Linked DNA regions of Danio rerio. The main gene of each other region encodes a partner of the protein of the gene in region 4 in a complex. Links are inferred from orthologs where the notes say so. Each region holds a gene or a part of one and is shown on either strand. Other genes may lie near its edges.

Region 1 (3,950 bases), on a different chromosome or scaffold from region 4:
TAATAGGACGAAACCTGCAAGAAAAAAGAAAGAAGCAGAGCTACAATTATCACTAATACTAGGCTTTGTATTAAATTTTATTGTGGGAAAAACTTTAGCAAAGTAAATATTTATTTAATCAAATGTTTATTTTATTTTAGTTTTAAGTTTTTACAGGTACTGCAAATTATGTTAAAACACTTATAGTCATATACTGTACGTCTCAGGGATGGATTTAGTGATTTTGGGGCCCTAAGCTGTTCCAGCCATTAGACCCAAAAGTTCTAAAAGGCACCTTTTGTACTTTAATTTTTTTATTATTATTTTGCTGTTATTTCTTATATCAATCAATCTCCTTTTCTACATTTTATCTTAATGCAAAATAATAATAACATGTAAAGCACCTTATAAAACTTTTTAAATCATTTGTTTTCTTAAGATAAATTCACTATAAATAAACAATTTCGTTTTTTAAAACTAAATCTTTACTGATTTGACAGCTGAACTGGTCCATGATTGAAGGTAGGGGAAAATATGATAGAAAGCAATGTTATATATAATATTTATATGTATAATTTATAATTCTAGGTATTTATTTGGGAGCCCTCAGATTAACTGGGGCCCTGAGCGGCCGATTAACTTGCATATTGTTTAAATCCACCCCCAGCACATCTACATGTAGAGGCAAAACATTTGTCTGCTTTAGACACGACAACACATTTTATTAGTGAGATTTTGGCTCACACAGGCCAAATATAGAAAAAGGGAAATCCAAATATTTCCATTGCTCTCTGGTCATTGATTGCAGAACATTTTAAAAAGCCCTGCTCCCTCAATGTTATCGAAGAGAAGGTAAGCGTTTAATTAATGTTTTCTTATTTATTCATTCTTTTCGGCTAAGTCCCTTTATTTTTTATCGCCACAGCAGAATGAACCGCCAACTTATCCAGGATGTGTTTAATGCAGCGGATGCCCTTCCAGCTGCAACCCAGTGCTGAGAAACATCCACACACACTCATTCACACACATACACTACGGCCAATTTAGTTCATTCAATTCACCTATACCACATGTCTTCGGACTGTGCGGGAAACCGGAGCACTAGGAGGAAACCCACGCCAATACAGGGAAAACATGCAAACTCCACACAAAAATGCCAACTGACCCAGCCAGAGCTTTAAACAATGACCTTCTTGCTGACAGTGCTACCCACTGCGCCACTGTGTCGCCTTGTTTTCTCGTTACATCAATTGTTGATGTATATACGGAACATTTTTTAATAAGTTTGCTTTTATTTGGATGCATGCCATTATGTGCTTGCAATTGGGTGTGTAGGAACTGTGGGAATTATACGATCCGTGCAAGTTGATACCTTGGACATTTTGGCTTCATCTTCTAGCACTATATATCCATGTACAGTTGAAATCAGAATAATTAGCCCTCCTGAACTATTAGCCCCGTTGTAAATGTTTTCCCCAATTTCTGTAACGAAAAGAATTTTTTCAACACATTTCTAAACATAATAGTTATAATAACTCATTTGACACATCAAACTGATTTATTTTATCTTTGCCATGATGATGATTTTCAACATACTAGTATTCAACTTAACGTGACATTTAAAGGCTTAACTACATTAATTAAGGTAATTAGGCAGGTTAGGGTATTTAGGCAAGTCATTGTATAATAATGGTTTGTTTTCTAGATAATCGAAAATAAATATTGCTAAAGGGGGCTAATAATATTGACCTTAAAATGTTTTTTTTTTATTAAAGACCATTATTTTAGCCAAAATAAAACAAATAAGACTTTTGCTAGAAGAAAAAAAAAATCCTTGCTCTGTTGAATATCAATTTAAAAATAACTGAGTAAGAAAAAATTATTTACAGGACAGCTAATAATTTTGAGTTAGACTGTATATAAATATATAGATGCATTTGTGTGATTTATCAGTCTGTGACCTTTTAAAAACATTAAGAATAATCTGGGTTTCATACTGTTTTATTTCATTACAGTCTTACTTGCGCTCCAGCAGGATCTTAGTCATAGTTGGAAGAAACTTCTCATAGCGCACAAATCCAGTGGGTTCTTCTTCTTCTAGCTGTGAATGAAATGACACTTCATAACTATTGATCTACTCAACTTACAAGAGCGATGCATTTTATGACCCGGCAAAACAAAACCACTGACCTCAGAGATGATATCATGCAATTCAGCTTCTGAAGGAAAACAGCCAAGTGAACGAATGATGGTGCCTATTTCCCTTTTACGGTGAAAAATGACAGATAACATTAAAGAAGTCTTCCTTGTTTGTAGAACATGTGCAGAACAAAGCTAACAGACATCAACAAATGGTCTAATATATTTTGAAAAACAGCGTAGTGAAACGTTACCTGACATCAACAGTCTTGTTGGATTCATGGTCAAATACATCAAAGGCATTCCCAATCCTCTTTTGAGTTTCTATTATAATATTTTCTGATAAAAAATACATTAATTAACGTTGTGTTTTTCCGCATTTTTATTTTATTTTGTGTGTGTGTGTTTACAAAGCAATTCAGCTGTAGATGTTCGCTGTCTGTGTGGTCTTTTACTGTTACTTTAACTACTCGACGTTAACAAACAACGTTACTGAAAACTTTTCAAACATCATTGATCTGGTAACAGTCGTAGTAATGGCAACTGTATTTAAAAACACGTCATGCTGAGAATACAAACACCATTAATAAGCATACAGTAAGCCCACAAACGTAAAAAAAGCGTAGCATTTTACGTGTAGCATCTTTACCTGCATTATACTTGTCCGCCATGTCTAAAACCCTGGTTGCTAGGTAACCTGAACACACTCGCCATTCAGACGGAGGGCAGGAAGTGGTTCTTCTACGTAGGAACCGCTTTCAGAAGTTTAAAAAAATGTTTCTGTTTATGCTGTTTATGATTGTTTAAATCGACCAAAATAAGAAATGCCGAACATCTTTTATAGACTAGCAAAAGTTTTTGCTCACAAAAGGGGAAAGTTCAGTACTGACTAAAAAAACAGAAGAAAAGGAAGAATGTAAGGAACATTTTTATACATCCTTTGTACAAGCATGAACGCGATTATTCGTTTGAAAGCACCAATAAAGAGTACATGTCTAAATTACCTATGTGTATAAATATGTCAGTGTTAAATAAAAATCAGAAGCACTTATACAATCCAGGAGAATATATAGGCTAAATAGTACCTGCTATAGTAATAAATAATCACATAGTCCAAACACTAATATTTCAGAGTTGCCAAAATGCGTGAAAGTCACGCAATTGACCGTATTCTCACGCTCTCACGCCACACATCAGTTTTCTCACGCAGTAAAATCATCTCCGTGAAATATTTATTCCGTTATAAAAAAACTCCCTATGATGTATGTAGCCTTGCTGTAGTCAACCTAAAACCTACAGTAGGTTGACACAAAACCAAAACAACACCCATTCTTGTCTTAGGACATTTTATTTGGCAAATGTTAAAATAACAGTAAGTTTATGACATGTTAAATATATAGTATAATTTGCTGGTTTTAAACATACAGCATATTAATAATAATAAATATAGTATAACAATCATAACATAACATCAAATGTTGACTAATGAAGGTACATTTATAACAACTATTTATTTGTTAGACTACTGTATTGTCAAACCATGTTGCATACAAATGCATTCAACAGACCTATATGACAGTGCATTGCTGTAGAGGACAAATAAAACGAGACAGGTGTTTAGAAAGAGTATAGTTTATTTAGTTTGACATGCAAACTTATCTAAACAAAGACACACTTTCAGAAAACAGCCCGAAAACATTATAATGCGCGCGCTCGTGATTATAACCCGCGGTTGTCTTCAACTGTTGTCTTCAATAGTCCTTCTTTGCTCAAAATCTCAGCTGAAAAACAAAGCAAAACATCACAACAGTCAGACACAGAAGAGCATAGAA
Region 2 (3,516 bases), on a different chromosome or scaffold from region 4:
TACTTTAGGTATTTTAAAGTGAAATTAATAGTACCGCTAGAATATTTGTGGCAAAAGCTTATTTAAGATCACTGAGTTGAATATTTTTATATAATTTTGTCTGACACTACAAAACAAATATCTGTTATTTATCTGGTGTCCGAATTTTGTAATTCACAGGTGTTTTACAAATGTTGTAATGTTTATGAATTTTATTATGGACCTTGATCTTTGTTCTGTCAATTTACAGCGTGTTTATCTATTTGTGTTTGCATTGTGAGGATTTGCAGTACAATATTAATTTATGTTTCTGTAGTGAGGCTTTGCAATGTGTGTCAAACCGACTAAGATGTTTTCCTAATTTGCCGGTATTTATTTATTTATTTTTTTCTATTCGCATGTGTCTTCTTAGGTTGCAGCACGTTAAGCTCTCTCGGGCCACAATAAATAACACTTACCTGCACACAGATGTCAGTTAAGGTGGGAAGATCATTCAACACAATCTGTTGAAGTGAATTGCAAGTCTCTGCAACACATGTAAATCCATCCACAGTTATCTAAAAGTACAAAATGAAAACTGTATTTGATCACTCTGGGATAAAGTCAAGAGTAGTTAAATGTGTAATAAAAATAGGATTGACTAACTAAGTATTTCTTAGAGGACATGACATAACTTTGAAAAACTAACTTTTGGGTACCTTTATTTATAATCATGTAGTAGTAAATTAAATATATTGTATATTTGCATCATATAACCAATAACACCAACTAATAGAAAGCCTAAGATACTTTTTTTAAATGATACAGTAGAATAGTTTGCAAGTCAAAACTAACCTGGGAGCAACCGGAGAGGTTAAGATGGCGGAGTCTGCGACAACCCGTCCCTGTGGTCAGATACTGCAGGTCTTTATCAGAGAAATGAATGCAATATGCCAGATTCAGAGACCGCAGCATCACACAGCATCTACTAAAAACATTCAGTACAGAAAAAAACTTCAGTCATTGTTGAGTACAGTCTGAAGATCTGAGAAACATAAGACTTTTGTACCTTGCCAGGACTTTTATTGTGGCGTTGGCAATGTGAGTGCAGGCCAGATTAAGACTGAGGAGAGACTGACATCCCTCTAAAATCATCTTCATATTTTCATCCTGTCAGTGTGTTTTCAAACAAAACACACGCCAGTTTTGAAGAGCCGAAAATTAAATAAGCAGAAAACTCCTAAGACTATGAACTGTATACTTGCATTAACAGTTGGACATTCACTGAGATCCAGTTCTTGAAGATTCCTGCATTGACCTTTAAAAACAAAAGTATTCTGTATCTTTATGAGGTTAACAAAGCAGAAAATAAATGCAGTTGTTTGGTAAATGAAGGTAAATGTACTGATGCGTCTGAAACTTAGTCTTTGCACCATGTTGCAACCACACAGGTTTACAGAGATCACATAAACACGGTGAAGCCGCAGGATTCTCTCCACCATCTGATCTGTGATCCAGCTGCTCTCTGGAGAGAAATCAATCTGTGGAAATACATCTCACAGGTTACACTGTATATGAAGCCTTTAGCACACTTAGCAAACGACACTATGTCAAAACGACATAAACAACATTTTAAAAAACTCAGCAACAATGCTAATGCGTCCATTTGACATCTACACACTGATGATTACACTGGATTATATTGTAGATTGTAGATTGTATCCTTACAATGCATGTACAGTAAAGTACCTTATTGTCAAAACAACATCAAATTGACATCTTACATTTGCATAAAAACACGTCAAAAAATCGATTACAGGATAGTTTTTGATTCGTCTTCTTCTGAGTTAACATTTATAAAAGTCTGGTCTTAAAGTATTCCTAAAACTTGAAGCTTAAACTACCAAACTCACATTAGACAGTCATTCTGATCAACATGTTTATGCAATATAACTTCTAAATGATCCTCAAAATAAAGAAATCCCAAAGACTTTCATTGCCAGGCTTTAACTTTCAGATCTTAAGCTACTTGCAAACTAGAAAAGCCTATCAACTAGCATACAACGTGCTAACCATGCAAGAAACATGCTTGCTGGATAACACTGTAATTTATGCTGGAGACATGTTATTTGCTATCAACTTTATGCTTGAAATTAATTTGTGCTAACAGTATAGTGGAATTTACATTAGCAGCTAGCTTATTGTTAGAAGCATAAATGCAAATTCACTAATAAAGCATAGTTAACATACTAATACTTTTTATTCATATTAGAAAGATGGTATTTTAAATTATAAACATGGTAACAGCATGCTAATTGCTAACAACAAGATATGCCAGTTCATGTTAGATACATATATTTAAGTTTGAAACATGTAGATTGTTGTTTGAAATATGCGAGCAACATGCTAATTCATGTGAGAGGCACACAAACAAAAGTCTAGCTAGCAACATACAGTAATAGTGCTTGTTATAAAATAAACAACATGCTAAATCATGTTACAAACATACTAATTCATGTTAATAATTTCTCTAACATCTAACAACATAAAAATTTAGAAATCTTTGTCAAGACAACATTAAGTTTTACCATAAAAATTTCCTCATTTTGATTTCCAATTGATATAATATTTTTTGTCTGTGAGTTCAATGGGAAATAAATCTTGTTAGCTTTTACCTTAATTCCACATAAGAAGGTAATTTAAATTTGGAACATGAGGGTTCAATGAGGGTGATGTTAAAGCATTACTAACTGACATTTCATTGAATCTGCCTTGTATTTAATGAGCATCTTATATTTTCATGCATTGTCACAAATGAAACAACACTTTCAAGTGCAAGTACACAATATGCTTTAATATAATTATTAATATAACATCATTGTGTTTAAAAAAGGGCAAATCTGTTGATTTTCTTATATACTTTTACTATATTCTTAAAGATTTTATGTATACAAATATTAAACATGCACTTCTAAATTCTAAAGGGAAAATTTGACAGTTTTTAGGTCAGCTGCACTAACCTCAGTCCACAGTGAGCTGATTTGAGTGATTGCTTTCCATGATTGACAAACCTGAGCACATTTCAGCAGGTCTCGCACACCTAGACTTTGGAAGATCTGCACCAAACGGTTCATTTCAATCACAGCTGATTGTACGTTTTTGCCAGTTATTTAACAGTTAGTGGTAGTCAAATGATACCTTGAGAAACAGCCTGTTGGGCAGCAGTGACAGATTGTCCTGTCCATCACCCTGTGGTATGCCTGAGTTCTGGCTTTCCTTCATATCTCTTTCTAGTTTCTGAACAGACATGTATAATAGCTGAATATCTCATGAATTCAATGCATTTGGGTTTAGCTGATTGTTTTAATAATTATACCTTAAAGTATTCCTTTGTTCTTTTAGCGTCCTGCACAACATGACGCCAAGCCGTGATGATTTTTCTGCAGTGTACAGACTCTTGAACCTTCTGTAGTTTCCTCTCTGCATCTAGATAAATTAAAGAATGCCTTGTTTCATGATATATAGAGAGAACAGAAATAATAACACACTAAATTTATA
Region 3 (3,516 bases), on a different chromosome or scaffold from region 4:
AATTTCTGATTTGAAGTTCAACATTCTCCTCATCTCTCATCAGTTCCAAAAGAATTTTGTAAAGCTGCAAGTCGTTGTAGGGTTTTGCAAAAGGATCAACCTGAAGATGCAAAATGAACAATCTATTAAACCATTTATAAACTGGGGATTCTCAACGCTGGCCCTTATCACCTTTAACTTCCAAATAATCTTGAAGGCCTTAATAAGGTGTTATTGATAAAGGTTGTAGCTCTGTAGGAAAGGGTCTCCAGGAAAAGGCTTAAAGACCACTCACTCGATTTCAAGGTATTGATGGTACCAATTGAGTTTAGTTTAAATCACACAGTTGACCTGAATATTGTTGGTGAATAAAGGGCCCAAATTGCAAAAAGAAAATATTTACCACCTCTATACACACCATTACCAGTTTGAACTGAATATACAGTTTCTGAAGTGTTGGATTTCAATGCACTAATGTAAGTAGACACACACACAAGATCTATTTGAGTTGCTGCCATGTGACTGATTGAACATATTTCTGTTAAACAGTCTAAAGGGTCTGCATCTATTAATGTCAGGGGAGCATAAATAAAATAAAAAAAATATCTTGATCTTGAACTCAACCAATGAAATTTCTGACCTGAAAGCCAGACACCATCTCAGGAGAAAAATCTTGTCCTTTCTGCGAGTTTGCTGCTGCTTTTGGTTTGATGAAGTTCATCCATGCTGGGATGATCCTGTCGTCCTCTAGATGATAGGTCACCTGAATCTTTCCGTCCGACATCTTGAAGTTCCTTTCAGCCACATCTTTACTTGCAGGTTTAGAAGGATCTCTGTGGAACCGCTCCTCCACACTCTGTTGGAGACGTTTGAATTGAATTAAATAACTTGTTCTATCTGTGGGACGGTTATTGCAAACAATACCGCTAGCAGTGCTCCTGGATTAACATATTTTGTTGATTTTTGACTTGTAGTCCTGTCTTAAAACTGCCTAAACAAGGGATCAGGTATAAATAAGATCAACCAAGAATTCTAAGATTCTAAAGTAACACTGGGTTAAACTGCTTGAAATTTAAAGGTCAAGCTTGTTTAGCTCGTACACTACCTTTATAGGCCTTTGATTAAGAGCCTCTCCAGCCCGAATCACTTTAATTTGTTTTCCATAAACAATATGACGATAATAGAGGAAGTCAGTCCGGTCTTCAAAGGTTTCAGTCATTTCAGATTGCTTCTCAATTCGTCTGGCTAGTCCATCGGTGCAAGTATGACCATAAAAGTCCATCTGACGCTCAGTCTCAGGAACTAACGTCACGTACCTATGGTCTAAGCAAAAGTAACATTTTAAACCGTTTGCTCAGGCAAGTTTTGACATCAGAAACTAATTAAATGTGTGTTTGATTACATTTAAGAGCATCACTTCTTCCAGGTCTAAAATGCTCAGTTGTCACATTGCTGTCTGTGTGTAGCTCCCTCTCCTCAAGATGATCACTTCGATGTTTGAACCATTCCTTTATAGTGTTGGGTTGAGTGCCTTAAGAAAGTGACAGTGTGTGTCTGATTTAACTAACTGCTCGTTTTTGGGTGAACAATCATTTCTACATGATTTCAAATAAAGTAATAAATCTGCTGAAGTCATTTAAGGTCTTACATTCAAGGTCTTTATAAGTGGTAAGTTTGGTCACCAGACCGTCTTTCAGAAGGTATGGCGCAAACTTCTCTAGCTTGGCTTTCCTGTACTGGAGTATTTTCGAACCCCCTGGATAACGCATTTCCATATCTGCAAAAAAGCAGAATGTGATTTATTAAATAATCCTTAGGAATTCTGGAAAATGGATGATAAACACAGAAAGTGAGGGCTTCACCTGGAGGTGGAATGTCTATTTTAGTCACCCAAGATGTAGGCATTTCAAATGCTTTCAGCTCATCAATTTCCTCCTTTAGAAGATAGGAATGTAGGTTAATAACTTTGGATAAAGATTCGGTCTGCTACTGGTACAGTAAGTTAAGTCAATAATGTTGTGGCCCACCTCAAGTTCTACTTACATCTCTAAGCAGAATTTAAAGCAGACCAGTAATTGTAAAATTCCCTAATCCCCACTTGAAGTTCCACTTCAAGGAAATGAGGGAAGCTTACATCCAAGGTCTTAAACTTGATTCCTAGAGGGCTGCAGGTCTGCAGTTTTGCTCCAACTATAATCAAACACAGATGATCCAACTAATCAAGGATTTCAACACTACTAAAGACTATTAAGCAGGTGTGAGTTGGAAGTGATTGGAGCGAAACCATGCAGAGCTGCGGCCCTCCAGGAATTGAGTTTGAGACCACTGGCTTAAATGGACATGATTCATGACCCCTTGATTTTGACCCGAGGGAACAAGTTTGCTTCATATGCACACTCCAGCACCCATAAGTCTCACAATGCAATGTGATTGGTGTTACAACAGTGTAGTTTCCAAGTGCCCAAAGGCATTCCATTTAATCCAATTCAGATGTTCTGGCAGTAGTGGACAGAGATGCAGGTCAACGAGATGTAGGAAGTTAGCAAGTCAAGGGAATAAAACTTGGACTGGAACGCAGCCCTAGTCATACAGTTTATATTAGCTGATCTCCACACAGCTGTTACATTCTGGCTTCTGTTACACTATCCCCACCCCCGCCCCCAAAACCTCACTCCCACGTCAGACACACACTTTGAGTGTTATTCGCATAAGTGTCTTCAGTATTGGAGGCAGGCTCACAAACTAGCTGGCCTTTATTACACTCACCCTCCTAAACCTCATTCCCACCCTGGTCATGGAACCAATGTAACCCTTCAGTTCTACTCGCACTACTCAAAGTGGGATTTAAACTGAAATAAATAATATGGGCGGCAGGTGTGCTTGCAAGAATCATAAAGTCTATAGCATCTGTTGCTAGTGCACCTCTTGATGGCAGTTGAGTGGGGTGTACATACAAACCTCTTACTAGCTGGCCCTCATTATATTTACCTACTCTAAACCTCATTCCCACCAGGGTCACGGCACCAACGTAACCCCTTAATTCTAGCGTCTCTGTTAGGGAAAGAGAAATATCAAGGTCTATCTACACAGCTTTCACTAGCTAGCCACATTACAGTGGCATTAAATTTAAATAGAAAAAAAAATAATGAACAGTCTTTCTGTACTTCCTCCTCGTCTTCCGGCTCTCGGGGTGATTTTTGTTCTGAAATCATTGATATGGATTGGCTAGTAAGTCCACACAGCATGTACTCCCACTTTGATAGATCACCCAAGTCAAACGTCATACTCTGCAAACACAAACAGACACGATAACCTTTACAAAGCTTGTCATCTTCACCCAAAACAATGTCACATCTACGCTAAGAGTTACTGACCCCACAACCGAAAGAGCAGTCTTGCTTGTTGACCCAGTAGTTTTGGTGGTTCCAGATGCTCTCAATACCCACAAAGTTCTCATTGGTGGTCGAATAACCCTTTCCTGTGAGAGGGTCAATAAAGAAGTTTTCAGGTATCTCACGGCTTCCCGAGAGCACCAGA
Region 4 (4,264 bases):
TTAAAACCATTATGAATGTATTTAAACTAATATTTAAATTTATATAACTGTTTCACTGTGGGTATTTCTATTTTAATTTATTTATCACATTTATTGGCTATTCAAACATGAAAACAAGTTTTAGATATTTTGTGGCTCTAATAAATGGTTAAACATAGCAATATCCCTGCAGAAAAATCCAGCTTAAACCAGCCTAAGCTGGTAAACTGGTTTAAGCTGGTCGACCAGGCTGGTTTTAGAGGGGTTTTGGTCATTTCCAGGCTGGTTTCCAGCCATTTCCAGCCTGGTCTTAGCTGGTCAGGCTGGAAACTGACCAGCAAAATCCAGCTAAAACCAGCTTGACCAGCCTGGTTTAAGCTGGACATAGCTGGTTTTAGCTGGTCATCTCCCAGCCTGACCAGCTAAGACCAGGCTGGAAATGGCTGGAAATCAGCCTGGAAATGACCAAAACCCCTCTAAAACCAGCCAACCAGCCTAGGCTGGTTTAAGCTGTTTTTTCAGTAGGGGGATTCGAACCCCGTTCTTTATGAAAAGAAAGAAAAATCTGATTGGCTCTGACATTACTTTCACCAGTGGGCAGGTACTTCAATCTGATTTGCTGGTCTCTCACGCGCGTATTCAGTCTCTCTGCGTTTGCTTGAGTTTTGTCCACACTGGCGCTTCATAATTTTCCTGCTTTTGCTCTCCAGAGATCCTCCTGATAAATTGATTATTCCAGAATGTTGATATGGTTTATATATTGCTAAACTATTTAGTAACAATACATGAAAAACTATGAGGTTAAGGTAAATTCTATAATAAATACTAGTGTTTTTGAGAGTTAGGTATACTGCCTATGTTTAAGCCTAGTATTATTTACAAGTTGTTAATGAATGCTTCAGCATACTGTAGTATTAAGAATAATGAACTAATAAAATGAAATACAGAGTGTAGTTTTACTACAGTAAAGTGTGGTGAATTGTAGTATAATATACCCTATACTGTAAAAAAAACTACAGCACTGGGTCATTTGTTTATATTACACTTGGGTTACCATAGCAACTATAATATTACCCCAACAGATTAATTAAAGTACTTTACTATAGTACTGTTCAAAACCCTGTCCATGCCAATAGATGTGTTCAGGGGCCCTGTGGAACAGCTTTTCCTCAAAATGAAGAGGATGACATGGAAAATGTCCTCCACAATCTCATCAATAATGTGGAAGACAGCAGAGACGTGTTCACTTTATTTTAGTTGCCATGATAAAATGGGATTGATAGTGGGATTTATTTAAAGAGTGAATAGTACAGTAGGCTATAATGCCAAATCAAGTTTTTCTTTATTTTTATCACAGTTACATTTCTGCTTGCGTTAGTTATATTTTTGTTTAAATGTTTTTTATTTGATTAGTATGGTGAACCTTTTGAATGTTTAATAAATGTTTGTAAAACAAAATGCATTCTTTACATCCAACCTCTATTCTCTGTGTCTTTAAGTGTTTGAAACTGGAAATATCTCATCATAAAACATACAGCCAAAATGTTATGGTTTATTAGATAAAAAATTGAATATGTAAGTCTATTTTAGTATTTTGGTTATTGTTAATAAATAGTGCCTCAATATAAATCATATCAAAAAGCACAAAAGGAAGAGGAAACACAAGACACAAATTCTATATATAATCTCTGAGAGCGCGCAGGAAAATGTGTGCGTGAGCAGTGCATATTTGAGAGCGAGAAAATTTGCGCGTGAGCAGCGTATATTTGAGAGCTCGCAAGCAGTTTTGTCCACAGAGGAAATCGGTGCACGAGCATCACACAAGGTAGAGAGCAAAGTTCTTCATTGTTATGTGAAGAAAACAACGTTATTGTTTGTATGAAGTAGCCTACTTCATTTAGAATATGTGCTACCATTTTACATTGCTGCTAGACAGATTTGCATCTCCATCTCTTCAGCACACACGAGATTCAATTGACAAAATACCAATTTCACTCAATTTTACTTTGCAGCATACAGGAGTTGTTGGTCTACTGCTGCCTCATTGAGGTTGTTTATGTAGTTTTAGTTAATCACAAGTTGATCACTGAAGACATAACATAGCACAACTAAACTAATGAACTAGACAGCAGTAGACCTGCAATTTCTGTGTGATGTGAGGCAAAATGGACTCTTTTTTTGGTGGAACTCATTCTTGTGCAATAGGCTGTGTAGACGAGACGCAGCACTGTTTAGCACTTTTTTAGAACATTACATTTGTGTTTTTATATATCTAAGCAATGTTCTTTCATCATGTTTAATAAATACAGATCTTACAGCCATACATAATCTGTTAAAATTTTATTTTTCTGTTAAAAAGACTCGAAAAGACTCGAAAATCAAACTATAGGACTTTGGACTTGACTTGAGACTTGTTGCCTTTGACTTGGGACTTGACTCGGGACTTGCCTGTCTTGACTCGGGACTTGACTCGGGACTTGAGGGCAATGAATTGAGACTTACTTGTGACTTGCCAAACAATGACTTGGTCCCACCTCTGGTATCCCCTCTGTGTTTCTGGTCTGCTGCTCCTCCACCGCGCGCTGCAGCATCTGCTCGTCGATGACTCCGGGCTTCTCCTGCTGGCCGCTCATCATACGCCCTGACAGGCGGAGATTAGCGATAGACAGCGGATCAATAACACGGCATCAAGTGTATGAAAACAGCTGCATACAATATCACTCACATGTTCCTATATCTGATTGATTACAGACCTGTCTGGAAATAGCGCTCTGTAACTGTAGCACACGACGGCTGCACGACGCTAACACCGGCGCTAAGCAACCAACCAACAACATCCGGAATATTTTGGAGAATCAGTTGATGTTAGAGGGGATACAGCTGCGACTAGATGTTAATTCATATGAATAACTAAGTGACCCATTCAATTGTATTTTATTAAACCCACACCCCAATATCATATTATGTATAAAATCATCCATAAGGTGGTATTTTTTAACATCTACCCCTACCCTTACCCTAAAAACAACCCTCACAGTAATGTTAAAACAGTAATTAAACGTTTATTATTCATATAATCACATATAAGATGATTCTTTATAACGTCTATCAATACCCCAAGCCTCACAGTAATGTAAAAATATGAATTATTGATGTCAATGTCACAAAAACGAAGCTGCATTGACGTGAGTGTCCGCAGCTGTATCCCTTCTAGACTTCACCTCTCGGTTGTTGACGTCACAAAACAAAATACATTAACATCGCTAAACAAGATTACTTAATTTTTTTATTTTTAAAATTTATATAAAAATTTTTTTTATTGCACATATAAGTACATACAAGGCAAAATTAAAATAAACACGTTCATCAACATTTAAAGAACAGAGCACAAATATTGGGGGATAGATAAAACCTGTCATTTGCACTAATGTTACGTGACTTGGATGAATACTCATGAATATTCATGGTACAGTTTAGTTTCTGAAACACACACACACACACACACACACACACACACACACACACACACACACACACACACACATATATATATATATATATATATATATATATATATATATATATATATATATATATATATATATATATATATATATATATATATATGAGTTTCTGACACATACATTTAAAAGAAGATAAGAAATCCCTACATTAAGGAGTAACACATACGTAAAAATAAAAAATAAAATAAAATAAACAAACCAAAATATAAAATATGTATCTAATACATATCTAAATTATAAACATGTTATATTTGTGTACAAAAGAAATCCGATCATTTAGAAGTAACGCTTATATGAACAAAATAAGGAAGGAAATCAGACTTTTCACGTGATTGACAGCGATATTGATCAATGGATTAAAAGTTCCGCGTGTGTAAACCAATCAGAGTTAGAAGCTTGTAATAGGAAATGGCAGAAAGTTTGGGAGTCCAATAACACAGGGAGACATTATCATAAGATCCAAAAAACAGTAAAGAAAAGCAAAATATCACATAATCTTAGTCGAAGAGAACAAGTTATTTTAACACGTTTAAGAACAGGACATACATTTTTAAATCAAACATTACACATAATGGGGAAACATGAGACAGGTTTATGCAACACATGTCTAATAGATGAGACAGTAGAACATGTTTTAAAAAGGTGCAAAGCATATAAAAATGAAAGAAGAAACCTTAAAGAGGAATTGCATAGTTTAGGATACCAGGATTTCACAATAAAGGGTTTATTAAAAGATGGTTTAGATTCAGGAAGACAAATAA
Region 5 (3,516 bases), on a different chromosome or scaffold from region 4:
GGAATTCATAAAGATAGCCTCTTTGGGGCTGGTGCAGACACTGGCAGGTGCTCTGGGGCTGGAGCCGACACTGGCAGGTGCTCTGGGGCTGGAGCAGACATTGGCGGGCGCTCTGGGGCTGGAGCCATTGTGGTAGAGGAGCCCTTTTTCCTACTACGCTTCCTTATTTTTTGTGACGGAAAGCTGGCCACCCCTTCCAACACTGCAGTATGCTTCACTGTCTGCAGGACTGGTGAAGTCTGTTGCAGGTGCCTTAGTGGGTGATGCTGCAGATGAAGATGGATGGGCTGCAGCAGGTTCAGTCACCACTGGAGGGGTAACGAGTGAGGAAGATCTTTTTCTTCTCCTCAATTTCTTCTCAGTGGGAGGCAGCAGGGAGCTGGGTTCATGTGGGTCTGTAGATGGAATGACAGACCAGATTCTCTCCTGAAGACTTTCATGAGCCTCTCGAAGTACCATGTGGTCTAAACTGTTAATACGAGTAACCCACCAATCTCTGTATCTGGAGAGGATATAGGGGCTTATCAAGAGCAAAGTTCAGGAGGTTTAAAAGAGCCCAGTCATTAAATTTAAGCCCCTCCGCTGCCATTTGGAACCTCTCCGCAAACTCCTACAAGTCCACACCATGTTACTGCAGCCCATGCAGACTGAGAAGCTGTGACATGTGGCTAAAGAAGGAGTCATTCTGCTTGATCTGCTAGGTCCTCATTTTGGGCAGTTAGTACTGTCACGGTTCGGGAAGGATGAGGGAGCGAGGACAAAATTGTAGACAAAATTATTTATTTTAATATGAAACAAACATTCATTTCAAAGGAGAAAACATTAATAAAATAAATAAACAATCAAAACTAACTAGGATGGGAAGGCTGGCAGGGATCAGGACTGTAACACTCAGGACTGGAACAACATGAGAAGAATATAAACAGAAGTAAATTAACACACTAGACTAGACAATAGACGGGAAAGCACATGACACAAAGAGACAACACAAGCCATGTGCTCACGTAAAACGAGACTAGAACACGCAGCCAATGAAGGAACTCATTAACTTTGCATTCACAATAAAGGACAAGACTGAAGCATGTGGCCACAATATAAACACAGAGCCACGTGCTTGGACAACACAAACATAGACGCAAGACAAAAGCACACAATAAACTAAAACACCTTATCTGGCGCTTACACATAAACAACGCGAATGTTTCATCTTAGCGCCAACTGAAACCAAAACCAACCAGATTGAGACGCTGAGAATGAAACACAAACACAAGTACAAGAGTGAGCGTCCCAAGCACGCACAGTTGCCGCGCTCCCGCTTGATGCTACGACGAGATTGATGCTCCCAGAGACACACATAATGACAGAAAACAAGTGCTCGACCCGAGAAAACTTGAGCCGAGCACAACAGAACAAGACAGAGCTAGTGTCCAGACTCAGGACAAGACCAGAGTGGCAGAACCCTGACACCTATGGTTGTGGCATCTGACCACATTAAGTTTTTCCAAAATGATCCAGGTTTGTCCAGATGAGCCTTTTCATGCCTCAAACAACTCTTCTCGTTAGCAGAATGCAGAAAAGTCTTCTTCTGCATCACCTTCCATAGAGCTGTTCTTTGGGAAGAGTGCGCTGAACTGTGGAACGATGTACAATGACATTATTAGCAGTAAGATGTTCCTGGAGCTCTTTGGAGGTGGTCTGTGGTTTATCTGTGATCATTCTAACCATTCTTTGCCTTTGCCTTTCAGATATATTTCTTGGTCTAGCACATCTTTCATTCACCAGAACTGTTCCTGTGGCCTTCCATTTTCTTACTATATTTCTGACTGTGGAGATAGAGACTTTAAACCTTTGTGATAGCTTTTTTGCATTCTTCTCCTAACTCATGATGATAAATGATCCTAGTTTTTAGGTCATTAGGAAGTTTTTTTGAGGTTCCCATGTTGCTACTTTTAGGTTCACAATAAGGAGAAGCACAACTAGCAATCGACTATCTTAAATATCACTTTTCATGATTGCTTGCACCTGTGTTAGGATTGTTAGGTTTACTGAGTCACTCAAATCTATTTTCTTTGGTTGTAATTAATCAGCGTAAAGTTACTACAGGTTTAGAAATTCACACTAAAGATACTTGCATAGCCTATTTTTAAGTTTCAATTTAATTTCACACATCTCAATACTGCTACATTATGTATTTCAGTTCATCTTAAAACCTGTTTATTATGTCAAGAAGCTCAGCTTTCTTCTTCCGTTCCTCTGCCACTGCAGAAAAGAGACTCTGAAAATTGTTTTTCTTCTGCAGCTCCTCCAATAAAGCATTGATCACATCTGATACAAACTGCCTGTAAGAACAAAGATTTTATTGAATAAAGGCTTATTAAAAATTACAAAACATCAGAAAATTGTGTACTTGCCTGTCTTTCTGCACTTTGGCCAGGTTGTCAGAAGCAAGCAGAGTCTGCTGAATTTTGAAGTGCTTTTGGGATTTGAGTTCTCCTGAGAAATTTGACAAACTGCTTCCAGCCATCAGTTGAGCTGTTTTTAGATGCAGTTCGGTCCTTTGCTGCTAAATAAAGAGAGTTACAGTCAGGTCCATAAATATTAAGACATCGACACAATTCTAACACATTTTTGGCTCTATACACCAACACAATGGATTTCAAATTCAATGAAAGTTGACAGCAACAAATTCCATATGCAAATAGCACACTTGAAATGAACTCTGGACCTTTCATCAGCTCACTGTAATTGGGATAATGAGGGAATAACACACACCTGGCCATAAAACAATTGATAAGCCAGTTGTCCCATTACTTTTGGTCCCCTAACAAGTAGGAGGCACATATGCAAACTGTTGTAATTCATGCATCGTTCCCCCCACAGTCCTAAGAATTGCAGGACAGGTGAATTGGGTAGGCTAAATTCTCTGTAGTGTATAAGTGTGTGAATGAGTGTGTATGTTTTTCCCAGTGATCGGTTGCAGCTGGAAGGGCATCCACTGCATAAAACATATCCTGGATAAGTTAAGGGGGTTCATTCCGCTGTGGCGATTAATAAAGAGACTAAGCTGAAAAGAAAATGAATGAATGAGTCTGCAGTTAAAACACATCTTGTTAATTTCATTTCAAATCTACTGTATTTGTGTATAGAGCCAAAAATGTGAGAATTGTGTTAATGTCCCAATATTAACACAATTAATGTGTTAAACGCCTGACGGTATTTAAAATGTGCCATAAAAAAGCAAAAACATGTTTGGGACATGTCTGTTTACAATTACCTAGTATTACTTTTACCCCCATTTTGTCTCAATAAGACATTGAGCTCCAGTTACAACACAAGAGCTGTCTAATAAATTTGCTGTAAGCTGGATCAATCTTGTGAAACCTGTCTAGGTCAAACTTCTTTCTGCGTCAAAATCATATTAAAGTAATAGTTTGCATGAGAGCTGAACACATTTCAGAGCCAACGTTTAAATGAACACACTTGGCGGGGGTTGATGTTCTTCAGCACCACAGTTCA

What was found.
Region 1: drc3 (region 4) and drc8 share a complex: the UniProt entries of both Homo sapiens proteins name them as parts of the nexin-dynein regulatory complex. The link is inferred for Danio rerio from reciprocal best matches to the Homo sapiens genes DRC3 and DRC8.
Region 2: drc3 (region 4) and fbxl13 share a complex: the UniProt entries of both Homo sapiens proteins name them as parts of the nexin-dynein regulatory complex. The link is inferred for Danio rerio from reciprocal best matches to the Homo sapiens genes DRC3 and FBXL13.
Region 3: drc3 (region 4) and ccdc135 share a complex: the UniProt entries of both Homo sapiens proteins name them as parts of the nexin-dynein regulatory complex. The link is inferred for Danio rerio from reciprocal best matches to the Homo sapiens genes DRC3 and DRC7.
Region 5: drc3 (region 4) and drc9 share a complex: the UniProt entries of both Homo sapiens proteins name them as parts of the nexin-dynein regulatory complex. The link is inferred for Danio rerio from reciprocal best matches to the Homo sapiens genes DRC3 and DRC9.

What each region holds. Positions count from the first base shown.
Region 1 is NC_133192.1:12,696,998-12,700,947, reverse strand, and holds the start of drc8 (dynein regulatory complex protein 8), read right to left. Parts: upstream 2,806-3,950; 5' UTR 2,790-2,805; coding exon 2,768-2,789; intron 2,458-2,767; coding exon 2,373-2,457; intron 2,243-2,372; coding exon 2,170-2,242; intron 2,081-2,169; coding exon 2,001-2,080; intron 15-2,000; coding exon 1-14. UniProt on the Homo sapiens protein: Component of the nexin-dynein regulatory complex (N-DRC), a key regulator of ciliary/flagellar motility which maintains the alignment and integrity of the distal axoneme and regulates microtubule sliding in motile axonemes.
Region 2 is NC_133200.1:19,757,549-19,761,064, forward strand, and holds part of fbxl13 (F-box and leucine-rich repeat protein 13), read right to left. Parts: intron 3,445-3,516; coding exon 3,335-3,444; intron 3,256-3,334; coding exon 3,157-3,255; intron 3,075-3,156; coding exon 2,979-3,074; intron 1,500-2,978; coding exon 1,224-1,499; intron 1,129-1,223; coding exon 1,028-1,128; intron 947-1,027; coding exon of another isoform or gene 944-946; coding exon 814-943; intron 537-813; coding exon 438-536; intron 1-437. UniProt on the Homo sapiens protein: Substrate-recognition component of the SCF (SKP1-CUL1-F-box protein)-type E3 ubiquitin ligase complex.
Region 3 is NC_133200.1:14,669,349-14,672,864, reverse strand, and holds part of ccdc135 (dynein regulatory complex subunit 7), read right to left. Parts: coding exon 3,354-3,516; intron 3,267-3,353; coding exon 3,144-3,266; intron 1,915-3,143; coding exon 1,842-1,914; intron 1,757-1,841; coding exon 1,628-1,756; intron 1,511-1,627; coding exon 1,382-1,510; intron 1,303-1,381; coding exon 1,085-1,302; intron 836-1,084; coding exon 620-835; intron 101-619; coding exon 1-100. UniProt on the Homo sapiens protein: Component of the nexin-dynein regulatory complex (N-DRC) a key regulator of ciliary/flagellar motility which maintains the alignment and integrity of the distal axoneme and regulates microtubule sliding in motile axonemes.
Region 4 is NC_133178.1:67,109,742-67,114,005, reverse strand, and holds the start of drc3 (dynein regulatory complex subunit 3), read right to left. Parts: upstream 2,808-4,264; 5' UTR 2,733-2,807; intron 2,621-2,732; 5' UTR 2,616-2,620; coding exon 2,514-2,615; intron 1-2,513. UniProt on the Homo sapiens protein: Component of the nexin-dynein regulatory complex (N-DRC) a key regulator of ciliary/flagellar motility which maintains the alignment and integrity of the distal axoneme and regulates microtubule sliding in motile axonemes.
Region 5 is NC_133193.1:29,299,084-29,302,599, forward strand, and holds part of drc9 (dynein regulatory complex protein 9), read right to left. Parts: intron 2,564-3,516; coding exon 2,412-2,563; coding exon of another isoform or gene 2,408-2,411; intron 2,340-2,407; coding exon 2,211-2,339; intron 1-2,210. UniProt on the Homo sapiens protein: Component of the nexin-dynein regulatory complex (N-DRC), a key regulator of ciliary/flagellar motility which maintains the alignment and integrity of the distal axoneme and regulates microtubule sliding in motile axonemes.